3 linked regions of the Saccharomyces cerevisiae S288C genome follow. The gene in region 2 interacts genetically with the main gene of each other region. Each region holds a gene or a part of one and is shown on either strand. Other genes may lie near its edges. The genes, in order: EMI2, PMT5 and ARG80.

Region 1 (8,211 bases), 1.2 Mb from region 2:
AAGGCTGCGCGTGCATTTTGAAACCAATGAGACCCGCTAAATTCCGTCTGAGGTACAAGATCCCTCGGCTTCTTTCTTCCCTTATCATCAACTTTCGGTTTGCTATTATTGGCATTCATCACACTTAGCACGTACGACATTGGCAAAATTTTGGGTTCGTCCGCCTCACGCTTAAACCATTCTCTTATCCTATATCCCATTGTTTCTAAATCATCTGCCCCAATTTGCTTTCTAAAGTTATAATCTCCTAACTTCAGCATCAGGAGCAACGTGTAATATGCATCATTGCCTGCGTTATGTAAGAAGGCATGTGGCAAGTGAAAAAGCCTTAGTAGTTTACCTAAACTGCTACCCTTCTTGCCATAACACATGCTATAAATTTTCTCTGTGTCAAGCATCTTAACATGTTTTCTAACACCTTTGCTCTCCGTTGAGTCCTCCGGTTTGGTAAGTTCATTATCCAATTCAGGTACATGGACCCCAATTTTCTTCAGCCACTTAATATCCCCCGCTATAGCATGACCCACAAACGCTCTTTCCCAGGTTGTATCTTGGTCCGTCTCACATTTCATATAGAAATTAATCAACGACTGAATGAACTCTACACATTGTTCCAATGGTAATACAAGACTTTCTCCAAGTAAAAAGCAGTCTTTAAAGTCGCATACGAATTTCTTGTTTCTTAACGGTAACGCTTCAGCAACAATTAAATGATAACTTCTTATAATCGGCATCAAGGAATAAATGTTTTCTCTTGGATCATATATGGCGATGCCAATCTCTGTAACAATGTCTGTATCAAATTCAAATGCCTCTACATCGATGGCAAAACAAATTGTCTTGTTGGATGATAATAACTCAATAGTTTTACAGAGATACTTGAACTGAGACCCACCAGGTTCACAATTCATCACAGGTATATGTTCGTTTTTTACGTCCTGTACATCTGCTAAATATTGCTTTCTTAGATTTTTCTCCACATCGTCTTTAGATGCATCAGGTATACACCCGTTTTTCTCTATCCATTTCTTGTCAATTTCTTCCAGCTTCTTATCCAGTAATTCTGAACTTTTCTCATAGATGGACCGATAGTTTGTTTCCAATGCCTTTAAATATTTTTGGATTTCACTACTTAACGCAATGTTAGGGGTATATGCAATTTCGTGCAGAGAATTAAAATGTTCAAACTCATTTATCCATGTCTTTTGTCTTCCTAGTTTATTCATCAACTTGCTACTTGAACTCTTATACAGTCCCACGCCCCCTCTTCTTGAAGGGACCATACCCCTAACTCTAGCTGCATTGCGGGTTGCCAGACTCCTGTTTAAACCTTGTGGTTGATGGTAATTGCGGACTGCTTTGGAGTTGAATCTATGCGTAACCATTTTGACTACCGCTTCGTATGCTTTCTTGCACTTTGTGGAGCTACTCATACAATAGCTTATAATCTGTGTAGTCAAACTATATACTAGGCAAATTACTAGTAAATGCAGTATTCATATGTCCTCAAACCGTTTTTTGCAGTATGTTATTGATCCATCGAATCAAAATTTTTCACCGCCAAGAGAAAAAAGATCTTACTATTTTGTGCTTATGAAAAAATTAGTAAAAGTAAAGCTGGAAGCACATACAAGCGCAGCTGAATCACAAAGGAAAATTGGCACATCCTTGGTTGACACTTGTCTATTTATTAAAAGGTTTTAAAAAGTAGTGTTCAGCAGTTCTATCATATTTTTTTATTTAAAAAAAAATACTGAGAGGAAGCGTATTGTTAAGACACAATTTAGGGTGGCGTTAAATAAACGAGAGAGCCCAAAAATATAACCAAGATAAAGAAAATCAATCATAAAGTGAATTCAAAAATGTCATCGCAAAACCTCAATGATAATCCAAAAAATACATCCTCAGCAGCTGAAGATAAGAAGAAACAAACTTCATCCTTAAAGTTGGCACCAATACCAACCACATCGCCATGGAAATCATCTTCGCCAGATAGCAATACAGTAATTCCTGTAGAGGAACTAAGAGATATATCAAAGACTGCAAAGCCAAGTAAAAATGGTTCGGGGTCAATTAAATTAACAAGCAATACCAAATGGACTCCAATTACGCCGTCTGTTATAATCTCAGGTTCCAAGGACACAAATTCAAAGTCAGGAAAGAACTCTAAAAATTCTAAGACTAATAAAAAAATGAAAAAGCGTGGCAAATATAATAACGATATCAATAAAAAGGACTTTAACGGTCAAACCAACAGTACATCGGAAATAAGTAACGTTTCCAATCTTGAATCCAAACCTTTAGATGCTAACGCTAAAGTAAACATACATTCAAGCTCAGGAGCAACTGCCAATGGGAATATAAAGAGGATAACAAACAACAACAATTCAACCAACGGTAGACAATCAAGAAATTATCAAAACAGGAATGGCAAAACAAGATACAACAACAATAGTAGACACAGTCAGGCGGCTAATAATGCCATCTCCTTCCCAAATAATTATCAGGCTAGACCTGAATATATTCCCAATGCCAGCCACTGGTTGAACAACAATTCAAGAAATAGCTATAAACAACTGTCATACTTCCGTCAACAGCAGTATTATAATAACATCAACTATCAACAACAATTGCAAACACCATATTATTACTCAATGGAACCTATTTTTAAATCTATCGAAAGTATCAAAAACCAAATTGAATTCTATTTTAGTGAAGAGAACTTGAAAACAGATGAATTTTTAAGATCTAAATTCAAAAAAGCCAATGACGGATTTATCCCCATGAGTTTGATAGGGAAATTTTACCGTATGGTTAATTTATCTCTTGGTGGAGACCCAAATTTAATTTTGGCATCTATGAGAGAAGTTTTACAACATAAAGAAACAAACCATTTGGAAATTGCCCTTGGAAGCATAGAAGGTGCTCAGAAGAACATGGCAGATGATTTCAATCCATTGGAAAACTATTTTATTAGGCGCGAAAATTGGGCTGAATACGCTATGGAAAGTAATTTTGATGAAAATGATGACGAAACTGAAAAATACAACATTGAGAAACTATTGGGACCGAACGATTTAGACAATTATTCTTATATGGGCTATCCAAACTTCTTTCCCAGTAATGAAAATGGGAAAAAGAGTCAGAGCTATGACCAAGGTGAAATTAGCAGGCAGTTTGAACAAAACTTACAAATAAATGATTAATTTTAGACAATATTTTTTTTTTTTTTTTTATTATGTATATAGTTAACATGTATAAAGTAATAGCAGATTCTCTCTAAAAATATAACATAACATTTCATTTCAATTCGTACTAAATAATTTTTTATATAACAGATACATAAGATATTTATATAGAGGAAAACGAAAACAAACTAAAAATAAGCTGTTAAGAACAGATATGTTTTATGCCACCAGAGCACACAAAGCTGCGCCAACACCGGACCCATCTTTGGCTAGACGCAAATGTATCTTACGTTCACCCTCAGTGCCAATTGGACTTAATGCCAAAGCATGTCTCAGCATGGATCTGAATCCAGGATAGTATTCGATGACATAACCGTCAAAACCAATTTCTACCTCACCGTGATATCTTTTGTTCAAAGCGTTTGTCTTGATTAGGATGGCGGCAATCGGAACGGCTGCTAGATATGCAGACCTTCTCGTAATGGAACGGACCAGATTTTGAATTGCTTTACGTTCTTCAAAAGTGGTCGGTAGCCTCAAACTCTGCAAAAACGACAATTCAGTTTCACGCAAGTTTGTCGAATCATCGATTTCAATCCTGGAAAGAACTTCACTGCACAATTGGAAAGGAGTCTTTAAACGGTGAGGTAATTGATCGTAATTACGATACTGTCCCAAGATTAAGCCCCTTGCATGCAAGTCCACCAGGATGTTCCTTAACAGCTCACCCAAGTACATGCCGGAAATTCTTTTTTCAAATAGATGGTAACCTGGATTTGGAGAAAATTTTTGGTCAATATCGATGTCATACTTTGTAGCAGACAAATGTTTCAATTCATTGTCGAAAGAACCCCATTCGATGTTGATGCACATTTGGGTTTTTCCTTCATGCAGCAGTCTTGTTCTGAGCTCATCTGGTAGCTTCTTGATGTTTTCAATATCCTCCATATAGCAACCGTTAGTACCAGTACCAAAGATACAACCAATGACAGGCTCGCTAATCTCACCAGCACTCGATGGACGAGAGCCTGAAGTGTAGCAGTGGGATAGGAAAGTGCCAACCGTGTCGTTGGTCAAAGCTACCACATTAATCATAGAGAGCCCCTGAATGTCTAATTGCTCCTGGTATAACCTCACGACATCCTTGCCGACCGTGTCTTCAATCTTGAAGCTTTTGGTCCATCTGATTAAAGTACCGGAACTCAAAGAGGTTTGGTCAACGGGATATGAGAAGGTAAATCCCATTTTCAAAGGTTTTATGTTCTCCCCCGTGGACTTCAACAACTCAGGATGATGCTTCCTAACGAAGGCCCTTGTACGGCGACCCAGGTAGCTAAACAGCTCCTCGCTGGTGACATCCTTGTCATTTAGATATTCTTCCGGAATCTTAGACTTCAATTGCTGCATATCAAAGGTTCCGTCACCATTCAAAGTCACAGAACACACTCTGAAGTGAGTCCCACCTAAATCTGCAGCCAGCAAAACACCACGTTCCGTCCCATTGGGCAAACTGGTTACATATGTAGGGATCATGGGTAGACCCTTGTCCACCGTCTTTTCTTCGCCTACAGAGGTGTTATTCAACCCCTTTTCCATACATTCAATGAAGTACGCTGTTAGTTCGTCCAACTTTGCTGCATCAACCTGCAATGAGGAGCAGATCTCAACCACTGCATCTTCCAATGCCTCAGCATTGACTTTATGTAAATTTTCAAATGACATTACTGTGTATCTATGATTCGATTCTTGTACAATTCTTCCTTGATACACTGATATCTGTTTCTATTTAAACTTCCTATAAGTATGAGACGTACAAAAGAACACGAGACAAGATGAGATTTTACACTTACACAGAATCGACTTTATATAATCCCGAATACATGTTTCCCCCCCCTGCATCGCAAGCATAATAGAATTCGACGACCCGATCTTCTTCCTCTGTCTTCCACACACACAAACACTAATTCACTCTCACTCTCTCACTTTCCCTTTCGACGACACACACAAAAAGACTTTCTGGATGCCCCGCGTTTTTTGTCACTTGATTCTTCGAACAAAGACGCAGGCAACTACCCCTGAAGGGCCCACCCGAAAGTAGTTGCTACTGCTCGTTGCGGTGGCTGCCAGAGTGGCGACGTAGCGTTGCGTTGTGGCTAACATTGGTGAGACAACCCGATTAAATTACTTAATGGGCTCTCCCACCGCCTTTGCACCCAGTGACAGCCATTTTGAAGATAGCATCGGGCTGGCTTCCAAATAAAATCTAGGTCGTTTCTATTAAGTTCGTTTCGTTATTTTTCTGTCTTCGCGGCGGACACGCAAGCCGACGACGACGAGGTTTAGTTGCATTTTGGCTATCATAAAAGAAATGGGCTTGTCGCAACGGGATCAGGACCAAGAACAGGGGTGCTGAGACTACTACTGTAACTGCGACCGACACAGCGTGCGAAACTAGGGAAGTAAAAAGGTATAGGAAGAAGAACTATGTTTAGAATAGCTAAAAACCTCGTACGGACTTTTGAGCAGAGCGTGCAAGATACCCTGGCACTCTCGCAGGACTCGAGCAATCTGGACGCTTTCTTTCAGTCTATACCACCAAATTTGTTGTCTGCTCAGTTGGAATCACCCGTAGATGCGGTTTCTGAAGGTGTTAAGCACACCAACGTCAATGAAACGCTTTCCGGTCTCCGCATTGTTTGGGTGGACGAGATGCAGTTCCAACTGCAGTCCTTTTTCGACTATATAGTAGGTTTCAATGATGATCCGGTGCCGGTGGTCAGTAATCAACACGGATTTTCGTACCCAGATTACCGTCGTATCACATCCATCTTCAATGAACACTGTGGCCGAACTTTGAAGGTCAACATATGGTCAGCTAAAGGAGGCACGTTCAGAGACGAGTATATCAGCATTATATCGAAGGAGAGCGACGATTTGGACGATGTTTCTCTAAACCATGACGAGAGGAGGCCATCTAGTGGGGAAGCGCACCAGTTCCAAGCACTCGGGTTCAAAGTCCAATGGACGCCTTTGATAGCTTCCACTTTCACATACCATATCCTGAACGTGAACATCCCAGATGGACCCGCCCAATCGGCAGGGCTCATCCCAGATGAAGACTACATTATCGGCTGCCAAGATGGCCTGTTGGCCACGGGAGGGGAGACGCTTTTACAAGATATTGTTAGATCAAGAGCAAACTACGATCTGGTCCTTTATGTCTACAACAAAGTTTCTGACTGTGTGAGACCAATCACAGTTCATATAGGTCCCGACGGCAGGTTGGGTTGCAACGTTGGATACGGGTTTCTTCACAGGATTCCAACAGTAAAGCACTGTCCACAACAAGCACAGCAGCAGGGGCAAGATGACAACCCTGTTCCTGTTCCTGTTCCAGTAGAATCTGAGACGGCTTTTGTGCCATCAGCATTCACAGCACCACCGGTGCCAACAAAGAAGAAATCAAAAAATAAAAAGGGTACCCAGCCATTGGCAATGGATGACTATTTTAATGAAGGCAGAGATAAGTCATCTACCGCTGCGAAGTCAGCAGAATCTGACATCCTCGCCCCACCACCACAAAAACAGTCATCCTCTGATTAACTTTCCTGGTTAGTCTTTTGGTTTTGTTTCATAGCAAAATTAAATATATATATATAAGCTTGCTTTCCCTTCAAAACACGTAAACGATAGTTGGCAATGTACGAAAAGTACCGAGACTTTTTTTCAAAGGCACGCGTGTCCTTTTTTGTTAAGACAATAGATATTTTAGCATTCAGAAAGTTTCAATTTCCAAGACTTGACGTTTCAATTATATGGCAATCTCCCAACAAGCACCCGCTCATATAATACCATGCAAGTGACCACAAGATTTATATCTGCGATAGTCTCGTTTTGCCTGTTTGCTTCTTTCACGTTGGCTGAAAACAGCGCAAGAGCTACGCCGGGATCAGATTTACTCGTTCTAACAGAGAAGAAATTTAAATCATTCATCGAATCTCATCCGTTAGTCCTCGTCGAGTTTTTTGCTCCATGGTGTTTGCATTCTCAGATCTTACGCCCTCACTTAGAAGAGGCCGCCTCTATTTTAAAGGAGCATAACGTCCCAGTTGTTCAAATTGATTGTGAGGCTAACAGTATGGTTTGCCTGCAACAAACTATAAATACCTACCCAACCTTGAAAATCTTTAAAAATGGTCGTATTTTTGATGGTCAAGTCTATCGCGGTGTCAAGATCACCGATGAAATCACTCAGTACATGATTCAGCTATACGAGGCTTCTGTCATTTATTTAAATTCCGAAGATGAAATCCAACCATACTTGGAAAATGCAACTTTACCAGTAGTAATAAACAGAGGCTTGACAGGCTTGAATGAAACGTATCAAGAAGTCGCACTGGACCTTGCTGAGGATTACGTCTTTTTATCCCTTCTAGATTCAGAAGATAAGTCATTATCAATCCACTTGCCAAACACTACAGAACCAATTCTGTTTGATGGAAATGTAGACTCTTTGGTCGGAAATTCCGTTGCTCTAACTCAGTGGTTAAAAGTGGTAATTTTACCTTACTTTACCGACATCGAACCTGATCTCTTCCCCAAGTACATTTCTAGCAATTTGCCGTTGGCTTACTTCTTTTATACTTCTGAGGAAGAATTGGAAGATTACACTGATCTTTTCACGCAGTTAGGTAAGGAAAATCGTGGCCAAATAAATTTCATTGCATTAAACTCTACAATGTTCCCACACCACGTTAGATTCCTAAATATGAGAGAACAGTTCCCATTATTTGCTATCCATAATATGATCAATAATCTGAAATATGGTTTACCACAACTACCAGAAGAAGAGTACGCGAAATTAGAAAAACCACAACCACTAGACAGAGATATGATCGTTCAGTTGGTAAAAGATTACCGTGAAGGTACTGCCAAGCCAATTGTTAAGTCAGAAGAGATTCCAAAAGAACAAAAGTCCAATGTTTATAAAATAGTTGGGAAGACACATGACGACATTGTTCAT
Region 2 (6,067 bases):
CATTTTCATTCCAAAAATCAATACCACGCAACATAAGAGGCCAAGTCTTTGGTTCAGATGAGTAGGCATGACTAGTATCCATATAATTGTTAAGGTAGAACATGAACTTGTGGATAGCAACAAACTTCTGCCAAAAGCTCATTTTCTTATAAGAAACCTTCTCTGGATTTGGCAAAGAAATTTCGTTTTCGTTTTCTTCAATATACCATGAAGTTAAGTCTTCCCTTGCAAAGTATGCACACGTAACTTCCTGCTGCCCGAATCCCCACTCAGGTAGCTTTTCAGGATGTGAAAATAAGTAACAACCAGTTAGATAATGCTTCAGCCTAAATTTGGTTTCAATAGCCCTAATATGTTCCTGGGCAGGTCCCGGCTCTGATCTCTTTTTATCGATTTCAATTATCCAATCATCATTTATATCACCTTCGAAGCCCTCGTATCCATAACATGACACCTCTTTTTGCCAATCCGCATTTTGAGAAACTGGAGGTTTGTGGTCATGTGAGTGTAACCTGCAGCCGTTCTTAAGCTGTCTTAATTTAATTATGGTACCGTCGGTTAAATTTTGGAAACTTGTGACATTTTCATTTGGATGTTCAGCCAGCTCAATAATCCATTTGTTATTTTGGTCGATGTGAGGATACAAAGTAACTTGTTGTTGCATGGAACCAGCCGGATAATTGTGAAGATGAGAATGCAAGTAACCACCTGCCGTTCCAACATGATTCAGTGAAACAGCGGAACCCACTGCAACTTCTGCCACAGTCTCTTTAATAACGTTGTTGTATTTTAAAGTTTTTCTAAACTCAGCGGGAAAAAAGCTACTACTAATACCATTCACGTTTAATGTCTTAATATGCACGCTGAAAATGAGAAAATAGATGAAGGCAGGAATAGCTAATAGACAGGTAAACTGGAACGCCATATATTTGATAGAAGAACCAATGGGTCTTGACAAATCACCAATCATGAACCATACTCTCCAAAGGACAATAATACCAGCCCATGCGATGGTGAAGAGGCCAGCCCATTTTGAAGAAACTGCAAATCCCAATGCAATGCTCGCAGCAAGTAATGACTTGTTTGCTTTACATGAATTTGGCAAATAAAGTTCCGATCTTCTAAAGAAATAAACTGCACATGCCATGAAAAAAACAAAGGGTCCCTCTATCAAGGTGAAACGAGACAACGTTACAAAGGAGTTTTCAATTGCAAAACATACTGCACAAATGGCAGCTACCGCAATTTTCACGCCAGAAACTCGTAACGTTAAGTATAATACCAAAACGGACACGATGCCCAAAGTAGCAGAAAAGAACCTCATCGCGACGTATGGAACGTTTGCCGTGTATTCAGTACCAATGTTCCCATAATTGAAAAGCCCTTTATAACCAAAAACAGAGGACACGGTTGCATATAGCATTGCCACTAAAGGAGGATGAACATCGGTGAAGAATATGTTGTTCACGTATTGAGAAACAAATGTACCAACTTCATTTTCACCAAAAACAACACTATTTGGCAGGGAGATATTGTGTAGCCTTACGATGGCAGTAAATATCAGCAAACAGCCAACTAGAAGCTTTTCCTTAGATGAAGTAACTGTTCGTAATGAACTCAAATTATCACAGGGTTTTGTTATGAGAAAAGACCTCAAAGGGCCGCGTTTAATAGTCACATCGGGGATGGGATCCACCTTCAGCAAATGCTCTTTATTCATCTTTAAAGCAGTTATGATCTTACACACCTGCTTAATTGTTAAATCAATAAGAATATTTTCGAAAAAGAAGAAAAGAAACGGGTCTATGCATAATATGTACTACGCTTCTGTTCCTTTTCTATTGTTCTCGAATGCCTATTCGATAGACTTTTCGCGGCACGTAAACGAGTTCTTGGAAAAAAAACGGTGCGAAATGATAATACCACTGAAACTACTTGCAGATCATACTTATTTGAGCGAAATAGAATACGTGTCTCTAAACGCAGATGGACAATATAGTCAGCTTCAAGACATTTTTTTTATTCATGATGTTTTTTTTGTCTATTTTCGTTTTTAATTATACGCTCGAGAGCTTATAGAAGACTTTACATAAAAATGTGGAGAGTACTGGGAAATTTATTCCAAAACAGCCCTTTTTTCTACTTTTAAAATGTTAGCTCCCTCCTCTTCCAACATTTTTTTGACAACTTCTGGATCTAGTTCATTACCTTCTGTGTCTTTAAAGATTTTCTTGCCATCCTCGTTCATGAGATCTTCATACGACGGACCGTCCCCTTCTATAGTGATTTCTTCAACTGTACTAGTGGCGGCAGGTTGAGATTCACGTTTAGTCAAGGTTTGGTTTTTGTACTCTTCTAATGAAGAAAAGTATGTGTTACAATTGTAGTCCCAACCAGACAACCACTGCGATTTTTGACACAATTCTTGAGTCCATGGTGTACCGTAAATAATTGGACTGAAGCTCTTGAAGAAATACACAGAAGCAGCAAGGAAAGTGATCACTACCGCGTAGCCCATTTGTCTCTTGCTGCGGAAAACATAAGAAACTATTATGTCCAAGGCGTGGCCAAGGGCAAGAATACCGAAATAATAAGCAGGTAAGTAGTGATGCAAAAACATTTGACGTTGCATTAAGAAAGATGGAGCATAATGGACGGCAAAACCCAATAAGTAGTGAATAACCTGAACGTGGAAGTTAACAACCTTGGAGTCCTTCAAAATTGGTTTACCTAACTGCCACGAGAACAGCTCAGTGATAACAATCAATCCGAAAATACCGATGAAAGCGGTGACAGCCCACCATACGATCGCATTACCTAATAGATAGACGTTTCTGTTATTTTCACCCCAGTAACTTATACCACGTAGCAAGAATGGCCATGAAGTTGGTTGTGATTCATAAACATGAGGTTCGACCAAATTTTTATTGATATGCCACATCTTTTTATGGGATTCAATAAATTTAGAAATGAAGCTTGCAGGTTTATAGGAAATACGCTTGGTATCTTCTGGTAACAATGGGTTACTGTTGTTCTCAACGTACCACAATGTTAAATCATGTCTACCGGAGGAGGCACAGGTAACTTCTTGTTGTTCGAACCCCCAAGCTGGCAACTTGACTTCGTGGGAAAACAAATAACAGCCTGTCATAGCATGTCTCAATCTAAACTTTGTGTCCAAAGCTATGACCCGTTCTTGGGCAACTCCAGGAGCAGAATTCTTTTTATCAATCTCAACAACCCAGTCATCATTAGCATCACCGTCGAATCCGCTGTAACCATAACAAGAAACCTCCTTCTGCCAGTCGCTGCTTTCTGAAACGGGTGGCTTATGGTCATGAGAGTGTAATCTACATCTTGTAACAGTGTGGAATAGTCTGACCTTGGTACCATCGGTTAGGTTTTGGAATGTTGTTAAAGATTCGCCGGGTGCGTTGTAAAGTTCCAACAACCAATCGTTATTGGCATCCATGTGAGGATATAAAGTGCTTTGTTGTTGTTCCGAACCAGCTGGATAATTGTGTGAATGAGAATGCAAATAACCGCCCATGGTAGAGAGATGACGCAAGCTGATAATGGAGCCAATGCCGACATCAGCAACGACATTTTGGGGGATCTTATTGTTCTTTAGTGTAGATCTAAATTCAGGCGAAAAGAAGCTTGCGCCATCCCCGTCCAAAGTTAATGATTGGAAGTGGATATAAAAGAAGACCAGATAAAGGGCAAAAGGCACACCCAACAAGAAGGCCAATTTGGCAAATGCTACTTTGAAGATGGACTTGGAAGACTTAGTCAAATCCCCAATCATGAACCATAGTCTCCAGATACATAAAAGACCCACCCATGTAACCGTGAAAAGACCAACCCATTTGGATGAAGATGCCATACCAAGAGCAATACCAGTAGCAAGCAAGGACTTGTAAGCATTGAGCGAGTTGGCAGGGTACATTTCGTATTTCTTGAAAGAGTAGACTGCAGCTGCAATGAAAAACATCAATGGGGCGTCCAACAGAATGTAACGAGAAATAGTGACGTACGAGTTTTCAACGGCAAAGCAGATAGCGCTCATCAAAGCAACCCACATACGAACACCAGAATAACGTAAAGTCATGTACATCAAAATAACAGTAAGAGCCCCCAAAGAAGCAGAGAAAAATCTCATCAACACGTATGGCGTCGTAGATGGAAAGCTGTCACCAATATTTTCGAAGTCAAAATCACCCTGGAACCCACCAAGCGATGCCACACCAGCATACAACATCTTTGCAAGAGGAGGATGCACATCCATGAAGTAAGTCCCCCTAATGTATTGCGAGGCAAACCCACCGAAATGTACTTCATCAAACACCACGCTGTCAGGCCATGCCAAGCCATGCAATCTAATGACCGCTGTAAAGACAGCAAGACAGGCCACTAACAGCTTCTCTTTAAGAGTGACCATGGTTCGTAACGAGGCCAATTCGGCACTCGGATCGGTAACAATAAAGGGTCTTACGGGGCCCTGCTTGATATCCAGTTCGGGCACGGGATCATCCTGCTCTACACGTTTGTACGTTTTCTCTTCCGACATGACCGTGCTTGTAGCTGTTAGCTGTTTCTTGATAGGCTCTTCTGATACTACCTCGCTTTAACAATGCACCTGTTTGTCTTGTTTTGCTGCTCGAAAATAATCAAGATCTGCTTAGAAACGCCAAACTCTTCTTCGACACGTGTCGAGAAAAAAAACGCAGCGAAAAAAAAAAAAAAGGTATATCATCACAATATACGATATAAATGGGCAGGGCAACCCCGAATGATGTATATTCTCTTCTGGTTCCAAGGGTGGCAAATGTTGGTAGAAAGCGTAATTGAAGCAAAGATCCGTTAAATAAGGCCAACTAACAGAAGCGCTGAAAGAGGACAATTGGTGATTAATCTATAAACGAGGAACTTCATGTCTCTGCCAGGTTCGAAATTAGAAGAGGCCAGGAGACTGGTTAATGAAAAACAGTATAATGAGGCAGAACAAGTCTATTTGAGCCTGCTGGATAAAGACAGCTCACAGAGCAGCGCCGCTGCCGGTGCCAGTGTGGATGACAAGCGTAGAAATGAACAGGAGACAAGCATATTGGAATTAGGACAGTTATACGTGACTATGGGTGCAAAGGACAAATTGCGCGAGTTTATTCCTCATTCTACGGAGTATATGATGCAATTTGCCAAATCCAAAACGGTAAAGGTATTGAAAACGTTGATTGAAAAATTCGAGCAAGTGCCGGACTCCTTGGACGATCAGATCTTTGTGTGCGAGAAAAGCATCGAATTTGCCAAGAGAGAAAAAAGGGTGTTTTTGAAGCATTCACTCTCGATCAAATTGGCCACCTTACATTATCAAAAGAAACAGTACAAGGACTCATTAGCATTGATTAACGATCTTTTGAGGGAGTTCAAAAAGCTGGACGACAAGCCCTCTTTGGTTGATGTACATCTATTGGAAAGTAAAGTTTACCATAAACTGAGGAATCTAGCCAAGTCCAAGGCCTCGTTGACTGCAGCAAGGACGGCCGCTAACTCCATATACTGTCCTACACAAACAGTTGCGGAGCTGGACTTGATGAGTGGTATCCTGCACTGTGAAGATAAAGACTACAAAACTGCATTTTCGTATTTCTTCGAAAGTTTTGAAAGCTACCACAATTTGACTACGCATAATTCCTACGAAAAGGCATGTCAAGTGTTGAAATACATGCTATTGTCTAAGATCATGCTGAACCTTATTGATGACGTAAAAAACATCCTAAACGCAAAATACACAAAGGAAACGTACCAGTCCCGAGGCATTGATGCCATGAAAGCTGTCGCTGAGGCTTATAACAACAGATCGCTTTTAGACTTCAACACGGCGCTAAAGCAATACGAGAAGGAACTAATGGGCGATGAACTAACAAGATCCCATTTCAATGCATTATACGACACGTTATTAGAGTCCAATTTGTGTAAGATTATTGAGCCATTTGAATGTGTGGAAATATCCCACATTTCCAAAATAATCGGTCTGGATACTCAACAAGTTGAAGGAAAGCTCTCC
Region 3 (7,399 bases), on a different chromosome or scaffold from region 2:
TCAAATGCAAGCTGTTATCGGTAGTGGATGGTATCGTTTCCGTTACGGGCAGTGGAGAGTCGAAAGATAGTGGAGGAAGCCCCAAATTCAGTGAAGTTTCTTGATTTTGAATGTCATTGAGATCCGCACTATCTAAGACAGTGTTTTTGATATCTAGAGAATACGGGATAACATCGTTGTTAATATTATTTGGGTTATTATTCTCCACGTATTGTATACTACTCATGCTTTCTATGGGGAATAAAATATCTTCGCTATTGAAATCATGGTCGACCGTCATTTTAGATCTAGTTCTTCTATGAGCAATAAAAGTTGAAAAAAGAAAGAAAAAATAAAGCAAATAAAACCAAAGAAAAAAAGGTAGCCTCTTGGCGTATGAAATACCTTGCTACTACTGTTGTGATCTTCCCGAAAAATATGAGGAAGATACCGATAAAGTAAGGAAGAAAAAAGCAATATCTTTTTTTTTTTGAACTTTTCGTATTACAGACTAGTTTCTGTTATCTCCAAGGTTTCCGTCTGTTTTATTTTCGTGTAACACAGTTTCTAACTGGGAAGTCTTGTTGAGCTCGTGCTGCTTTCTTACTATTACCAAACAGGAAGGCAAAAAAAGGGAACACGGTTTACGCGATAAAAGTAAAAGGGCCAAGTCTGACTGGTGCTGATATCAGGCAACAAACACCACTTTGTTCTGCTATTTGTCTTTATTACCTGTCTCTTTCGCTGGAAACAACAAATATAAATAAGTAAGTGTCAATACTATATGTTGTCTGTAGAGGGGAAATTGTATATATTTTCGGTGTCTTGTTTTTCTTTTCCGCAGTTTGTTTTTCCCATTCTGATTTTCTGAAATTCGTAAAAAGGTGTTTTTTTCGTATAAATGGCTCTCTTTAATTTATTAGAGACAAAAAGAGCCGATATGTATGACGTAGACAGATGGTGTCAAGAACCGGCTTGGCTGCTACGGAATGCGTAGCTGAACGCCGTGGTTTCCGGAGAAAGACGAAAGATCAACTCCGGCCGTCTGGCCAGGAACGATAGGTGCTGGAGATAAGTGAGGTACGGATACCAAGAGCGAAATACCTCTTTAGGTACGTTCCGGGCCGTTGTTGCCGGCGAAACCGGAGGGACAAGGCAATATGAAGTAGGATTGGAAACCGGCTTTGGCATATTGCCACATGCGTATGTACATGTCCGGCATCACGTGGTTATGATGTAGTATACTATATTATGTTATATCTGTATTACGCTACGTTGTGCTATCTTGGATGTTCTATTTGATGTTGTTGGCCAAGGCATCTTTTCTCTCTTCCCAAACAGTCTTTCCGGTACACGCACACACTTGTTTATTATTTTCCCACACACCAGCGCTTCTCGCAATGACTCCCAGAAATGAGTAGTCCTTAACGGAGGAAGGCTCGTTTTCTGGGTGGTTCAGAGACTTGGAAATGACAAAGCTGCGGCCGATAAGTTGCCATGTTGGCAAGGGAGCGCTCAGAAAGGTCTTCCCACTGTACAAGTTCTTGCCCAAATCACTCTCGTTGAAGCATTCAATGGGTTCGTCGAACTTGTGCCAAACTTTACCAGTAGATTCCACGCCCTTGGAGACGTCGCCTTTCTCGTGAATGCTGGCGTGGTAATTTCCCGCCTCTGGGACGCCATTTACAGTGATGTCAAAAAGAGTCTTATTCTCTCCAACCTGAACGATTCTTGCTAGGCCCCTCACGGCGGTGTCCTTTTTCTGGTCTATAGTATATTTTTGAAAGGTCTCTAAGATAGCGACCGCGGAAGAATTCGGCTTCCCGGCGCCTCTTATGATGGCGTCTTTACCACAGTTTCGCAAGGTGTTGATGATGGTTGAAGGGGCTACTGAGCTTTCCACGCTCATTATTTGTTGCTCTATATCGAAATTCAATGAATTGATTCCTGGGACATTTTTTAGGCATGCCTTTATATCATTCACGCAATTTTCACAGTGCATGGGAATGGCATAAGTAGCCTCGTATGTATCGTTCGTGGTCATTTTTGTGCTGATCGAATGGGTTTCTGCCTTGCAAAGATATCTTTATTCTTTTCTTAGTCTAAATTTTTTTTTTTTGGCTTGCCTTTAATATATTATTTTTCCGAACAATGAATTTTTACCCTCTTCCATTCTCACTGTGTACTAGTTGTACGGGGAAAATGCTTAGTAAGCGCAAATTTTTTTTTGATAGTATATTATACTGAAATGTACAAGATTAACTTTTGTCTGGTTATTATAAATCACATATTTGATTATATGAATTGTTAAAATGAATTTGACAAACAGAAAAGTATATATTTTTATTTCTTTTTTTTTTTTTTTATTCTCTAATAAGCTCGTTGGATGGAAGACGTTGACATAAGCAAGCTCAACTTCCAGGACTATTATTCTTCTTCACTTATGTCGTCTTCAGCCTTGTTCATTTCAGCTTCCAAGCTTTGAGCAAATTCTTCGTCACTAGAATTTGCATCTTTTGACTCGTTTATGTTGGAGACAATATCTTCTTTTTTAGCTTGAAGTGTGGGTACAGGTTCAGGTTCAGGTTCAGCTATCTTTTCTTTTGCCTTTGCCTCTTTCTCTTGTTCTGCAACTGCTTTTGCCTTTGCCTCCTCTGCCTCTTCTTTTTCCTTTTGCTTGCGTTCCTCTTGTTGTTTCCTACCTGCCTGGCCTGGGATGATCAAAGTAGCATTGGCTTCTCTTTCAGCGTTTTGAATGTTTTCCTCGTGTGGAAGTAGAGTAGGTGGAGCAGGTTTCTTCTTCTTTGAACGTGGCTCCAAGTCATGACTCTCATTAGATGCTTTGGACTTATCTTCTCTCCTCTTCTTTGGGCTGTTCTTGTCCTTCCCGTTTTTATCCTTGTCGTTATTAGTACTGTCATTATTGTTATCATCTTCATATTCGTCGTCGGACAATAGTCTAACCATTTTGGTTTTTGGTCTCTTGGATCCTAGCCTTCTCAAGGCTTCATCAATATTCAATCTGTGCTTAAGCAATTCGTCGTATAGATCTTCTGTCAACGAAATACCTTTCTTCCCAGGTTTCATTTCGCCTGTAGATGAGTCCAGATAGTACTCACGGATATCAATTAAATTTATGTTTCTAAATTGTCTTACCGTGACCCTCTTATTTTTACCCAGATCAAAAATTGCATCTGATGCGGATAGTCCAGATGGCATACCACCATTGTTATTGTTACTGTTACTTAAGTTTCCTCCACCATTATCGCTTCTTCTTTTGTTCCTATACCTGTTGTAATATGACATAGCGCTTGTGTTTGTATATATGTCGAAAAATTGATGTGTACGGAAAGATTTAATATTAAATAGCTTTCTTAAGTGGGCAACCAAAAGTGTTTCTTTGATTGGGGACTTTTACAAAATTCACGTTTACAACCTCTTCTCTTGTCTTCCTATCGTTCCCTGGATCAAATTAAGAATTTTCATCAAGAATAGAGAGCAGAAGGCAAGCCAAGAGAGAAAAAGAAAGAGAGAAAGAAAGAAAGGAGAGGAAGAGGAGATGAAAAGAGAGGAAAACTTGAGTTTTGATAAAGAAATTTGAGGAAGGTAAAAGTAAAATTCCCATTCAAATGAATGTATTAATAAATTCTCATCATTAAAAGGAGGGAAAAATTACGTATAACGTAAAGATAAAACGTGTGTGTGTGCAGTGCTATACTCATTGTCCTTGTTAGTGATGATAATTCGTCCCAGCTGAAAAAACTCAAAATAAGTATTACCCGGATCGAGGCTGTGGCATTTAGCGCCGCTGTCTTGACCATCCACCAATGGTTGATAATAACATCGGATGATCAGCCCATTTTTGGTGTATTACTATCCCATCTCATTCTTCCAAAAAACACGTATATATCATTGACGAGATCGAGATACGTCTGCTGTGTTTAACGGCTAACTTGGTTGTGTAGGCTTGTGTCAATTAGGCAAAATGGTTTTCTTGGAAAAAAGACAAGGGAAAAAAAAGGGTTGATAGAGCAATATATGTACAGCTGGCCTTCTCTGAGAAAAGCTAGCCGCCTGGAAGTAAATAAATACGCTGAGTGTTCGTTGGAGCATGAATTATGTGAATAGAAAAATACTAAGCAAAATTTCAAAGTCGAGTTAGTGATGGGTGTTTATTTGGCAGTACTCTTTTCGTTACTGGTCATCGAAATGGCCATTCTGTTTATTTTGGTACTTCCGCTTCCACAGCGTATGAGAAGGTGGCTGTATATACGCTACAGTATCATAAGTACTAATAAGAAATTCAGAACTTATATGGTTGGAATCATGATCTTCGTTGGTCTTTTGTTCATCGATTCATGGAAAAGGTCACAGATCAGAGTGTCTACGTACCGCAACCAGAAAAATCCCTATATAATAAATAGTGTAACCCCAGTGGATGCACTGGCTTCAAGGGCATATAACCAAAGGAATGTTTACATTTCAGGCTTCATCATCTACTTTTATATATGTATACTCACCGTGATGAGTATATTGCGAAGAATAGTGGAATGGAATGACAAAATGAAGGCTGGAGATGACATTCTGAAGGAAAAGTTAAGACGAAAGCAAAAATATTTAGAGGAATTGCAGAAGAAGAAATTTTAAAAGGAAAAAACTAAAAAAGAAGAAAAGGAAAAACTTACATATGTAAATAGAACAAATGAATATAAACTAAAATTTGACAAATTTTTTTTCTTTTTGGGGTGATTATATCATTTCTGGATGAGGAATACCTGAAGACCACTCTTCATTAAAATGTTCTTTAAAAATATTCTTTTGGATATATTCTACTAGTTGTCCGTCCTTAGAAGATAATCTGTTGCCATTCGATTTCACAATTTCGTAATTATCCAGAGCAAGTTTCAATTCTTCCATGCTACTGACTCCAAGAACAACGGGTCCCTTTCCTACCCATTCCGAAATCGCGTATCTTGTGGCCAAATCGGCTAAGTCGACATTTTGTTCTTGACAGTATTTGGCAGCCTGAGATGCGCATTCTCTCAATTCATGAGAACACGGGTGAAACTGTCTTGTCTCCTGTGACCTTAGTAGCGACATGCTCAAGATTGATGCGTTGCAAACCATTTTCAGTTTAGCATTGCGTAGCAGTCTTTCTCGAAAGTTCAATAGCTTATTGTTTTGTAAGTTCAAGTTACAATAGGACAATACTGCATCCAATGACCCAATATCACTTTCCTCGGTAGAGCAGTACTCAGCAAGCCAGGTGATAAAGTCGATTGGGTAGCCTGATATGCCAAAATTTTTGATAACTCCTTTGTTCTTCAAGGTCCTCAATTCCTTTAATGCCTCTAAGATGTCTGGAAATTTGACAAACTCGACATCGTGCAAGTACACCAAATCGAGATATGTAGTGTGTAATCTTTCGCACGATCTGTGAACACTAAATCTCACGAAATCTCTAGAATAGTTAAACTCTTCCGCACCAATACGCCCAACCTTTGTGCATATAAAATAAGTGTCTCTGGGAAATTCATTCCTTAAATTGGACAGTGCCCTACCATAAAGAACCTCACTAGGGCCATAGTAGGGAGAAGTGTCAATTGCATTGATACCATGCGAAAATGCGTATTTGATTATGTCTTCCAGTGGAATGGATTCTGGCTCATCTGTATATTGCTGGTTCAGTATTGCACCTCCTAAGACTAAAGGAGAAACCGAAGCTAAGTCGAATGGATTCACTTTTTCATTAACCATCTTATAGTCTCCGTTGTTACTCTTTTATTTATGTGTACTCTTCCTTCCTGTTAACAGAGTAGATAAATATAGGCTTTAAACTTACCGTGTACTGAAACCCAGAAGGCAGCTTTCTTTTTTCCAGAAAGTAAAATAATGACAAAAAAATCGACTACATATGCACAATGCTAAGTTATATGACACTTTCTTTCTTATCCTCACTTATCCATAAGACACCCCTCTTCTTCAGAGAATTTGGTAAGCAATTTCATGTATTTCCATGAGAATGGGCTCGCATCCCAGAGCGCAACTAATATATGAATATAAGCGGATTTAGCTCAGTTGGGAGAGCGCCAGACTGAAGAAATACTTCGGTCAAGTTATCTGGAGGTCCTGTGTTCGATCCACAGAATTCGCATTAATTTTTTTTTACTTTTCATTCGTTTTCCTCTTTTGGTGATGAGCAGCATCACAGAAGCGGGTGGGTCATCCATTATTAGACGGTAAGTGAAAAAAATTTGATGATTCAGGTGAACCGCTATGGAAAGGCACGTAGTTCTACTTACTCCTAGCAAGTAGCTATGCGATTTTCCTGCGCCATTTTTTTTCCCACATTAGTTACATACACTCTCTAAAGAATATTGCTAAATATGACGTCGAATAGCGACGGTTCAAGTACCAGTCCAGTTGAGAAACCAATTACCGGCGATGTTGAAACTAATGAACCTACCAAACCAATACGGCGGCTTTCAACGCCATCGCCAGAACAAGATCAAGAAGGCGATTTCGACGAAGAAGACGATGATGACAAATTCAGCGTGAGCACATCAACTCCCACCCCAACCATAACGAAAACTAAGGACAGCAGCGACACAAGTACGGTTACGAGGCGGAAGCAGCCGATCAGGTACATCGAGAATAAGACCCGGAGACATGTCACCTTCTCGAAGAGGCGGCACGGGATCATGAAAAAAGCATATGAGCTCTCCGTCCTAACCGGCGCCAATATTCTGCTTCTAATTCTGGCAAACTCTGGCCTGGTCTACACTTTCACAACGCCTAAGCTCGAGCCGGTGGTACGGGAAGACGAGGGTAAGAGCCTCATCAGGGCATGCATCAATGCTTCAGACACTCCTGACGCTACCGACACGTCGCCGGCACAGGAACAATCTCCGGCAAACTGAACATGCGAGAGTAAGAGATGCCCCACGAAGGCATAGGCAGATCCATATAGCACAATACGCGCATATAAAGTAGCATTGCTGCCAAAGGGGGTTGCACAAGGAGTTGCCCTCCTTCGGCACGCGGCTCGGAACATACCGGAGTGTCCCCCTTTGAGTAATTTTTCTCAAAAGAGGCACTTTTGCGCTGGGCCGCAGGAAATTTCCCTTTCTGTTCAGCACCTGTTGTCCTATATTAAGCTGTGCCAAACAAGGTCATCTCCAAATACTTACCAAAAAGCTAGGGCGTACTGTACTGGAATCTCTGCTTTTTTCTTTACCTTACTTCAATTTGCCTTGTCTGCTTTTTTACGTGTGTTTTGGCGTTTCTGCTTTTCTTTTTTATTACTCGTTGTTGTAAATCATTTTCTAAGTATTATACATACTATATCATCGCATACCCAATCGGTTTCCTATTCTCACCACTTTTTTCTGGAAAAATACATAGCCTAACAAGCAATTTT

The links.
Region 1: mutations in PMT5 (region 2) and EMI2 together harm fitness more than expected from each alone (negative genetic interaction), as found in Saccharomyces cerevisiae (one large-scale study listed by BioGRID).
Region 3: mutations in PMT5 (region 2) and ARG80 together harm fitness more than expected from each alone (negative genetic interaction), as found in Saccharomyces cerevisiae (one large-scale study listed by BioGRID).

The regions. Positions count from the first base shown.
Region 1 is NC_001136.10:1,471,567-1,479,777, forward strand, and holds EMI2 (putative glucokinase), read right to left. Parts: upstream 4,911-8,211; coding exon 3,408-4,910; downstream 1-3,407. Other genes in the region: YDR514C (uncharacterized protein), read right to left, coding at 1-1,433; SLF1 (Slf1p), read left to right, coding at 1,863-3,206; GRH1 (Grh1p), read left to right, coding at 5,673-6,791; protein disulfide isomerase EUG1, read left to right, coding at 7,042-8,211. UniProt on the Saccharomyces cerevisiae protein: Putative glucokinase involved in phosphorylation of aldohexoses and glucose uptake. Involved in sporulation. Required for the full activation of the early meiotic inducer IME1.
Region 2 is NC_001136.10:285,562-291,628, reverse strand, and holds the start of PMT5 (putative dolichyl-phosphate-mannose-protein mannosyltransferase PMT5), read right to left. Parts: upstream 1,721-6,067; coding exon 1-1,720. Other genes in the region: dolichyl-phosphate-mannose-protein mannosyltransferase PMT1, read right to left, coding at 2,117-4,570; proteasome regulatory particle lid subunit RPN6, read left to right, coding at 4,934-6,067. UniProt on the Saccharomyces cerevisiae protein: Protein O-mannosyltransferase involved in O-glycosylation which is essential for cell wall rigidity. Forms a heterodimeric complex with PMT3 and more rarely with PMT2 to transfer mannose from Dol-P-mannose to Ser or Thr residues on proteins.
Region 3 is NC_001145.3:346,238-353,636, forward strand, and holds ARG80 (Arg80p), read left to right. Parts: upstream 1-6,365; coding exon 6,366-6,899; downstream 6,900-7,399. Other genes in the region: stress-responsive transcriptional activator MSN2, read right to left, coding at 1-280; copper chaperone CCS1, read right to left, coding at 1,274-2,023; chromatin-binding transcription coactivator SUB1, read right to left, coding at 2,407-3,285; YET2 (Yet2p), read left to right, coding at 4,144-4,626; D-arabinose 1-dehydrogenase (NAD(P)(+)) ARA2, read right to left, coding at 4,729-5,736. UniProt on the Saccharomyces cerevisiae protein: With ARG81, ARG82 and MCM1, coordinates the expression of arginine anabolic and catabolic genes in response to arginine.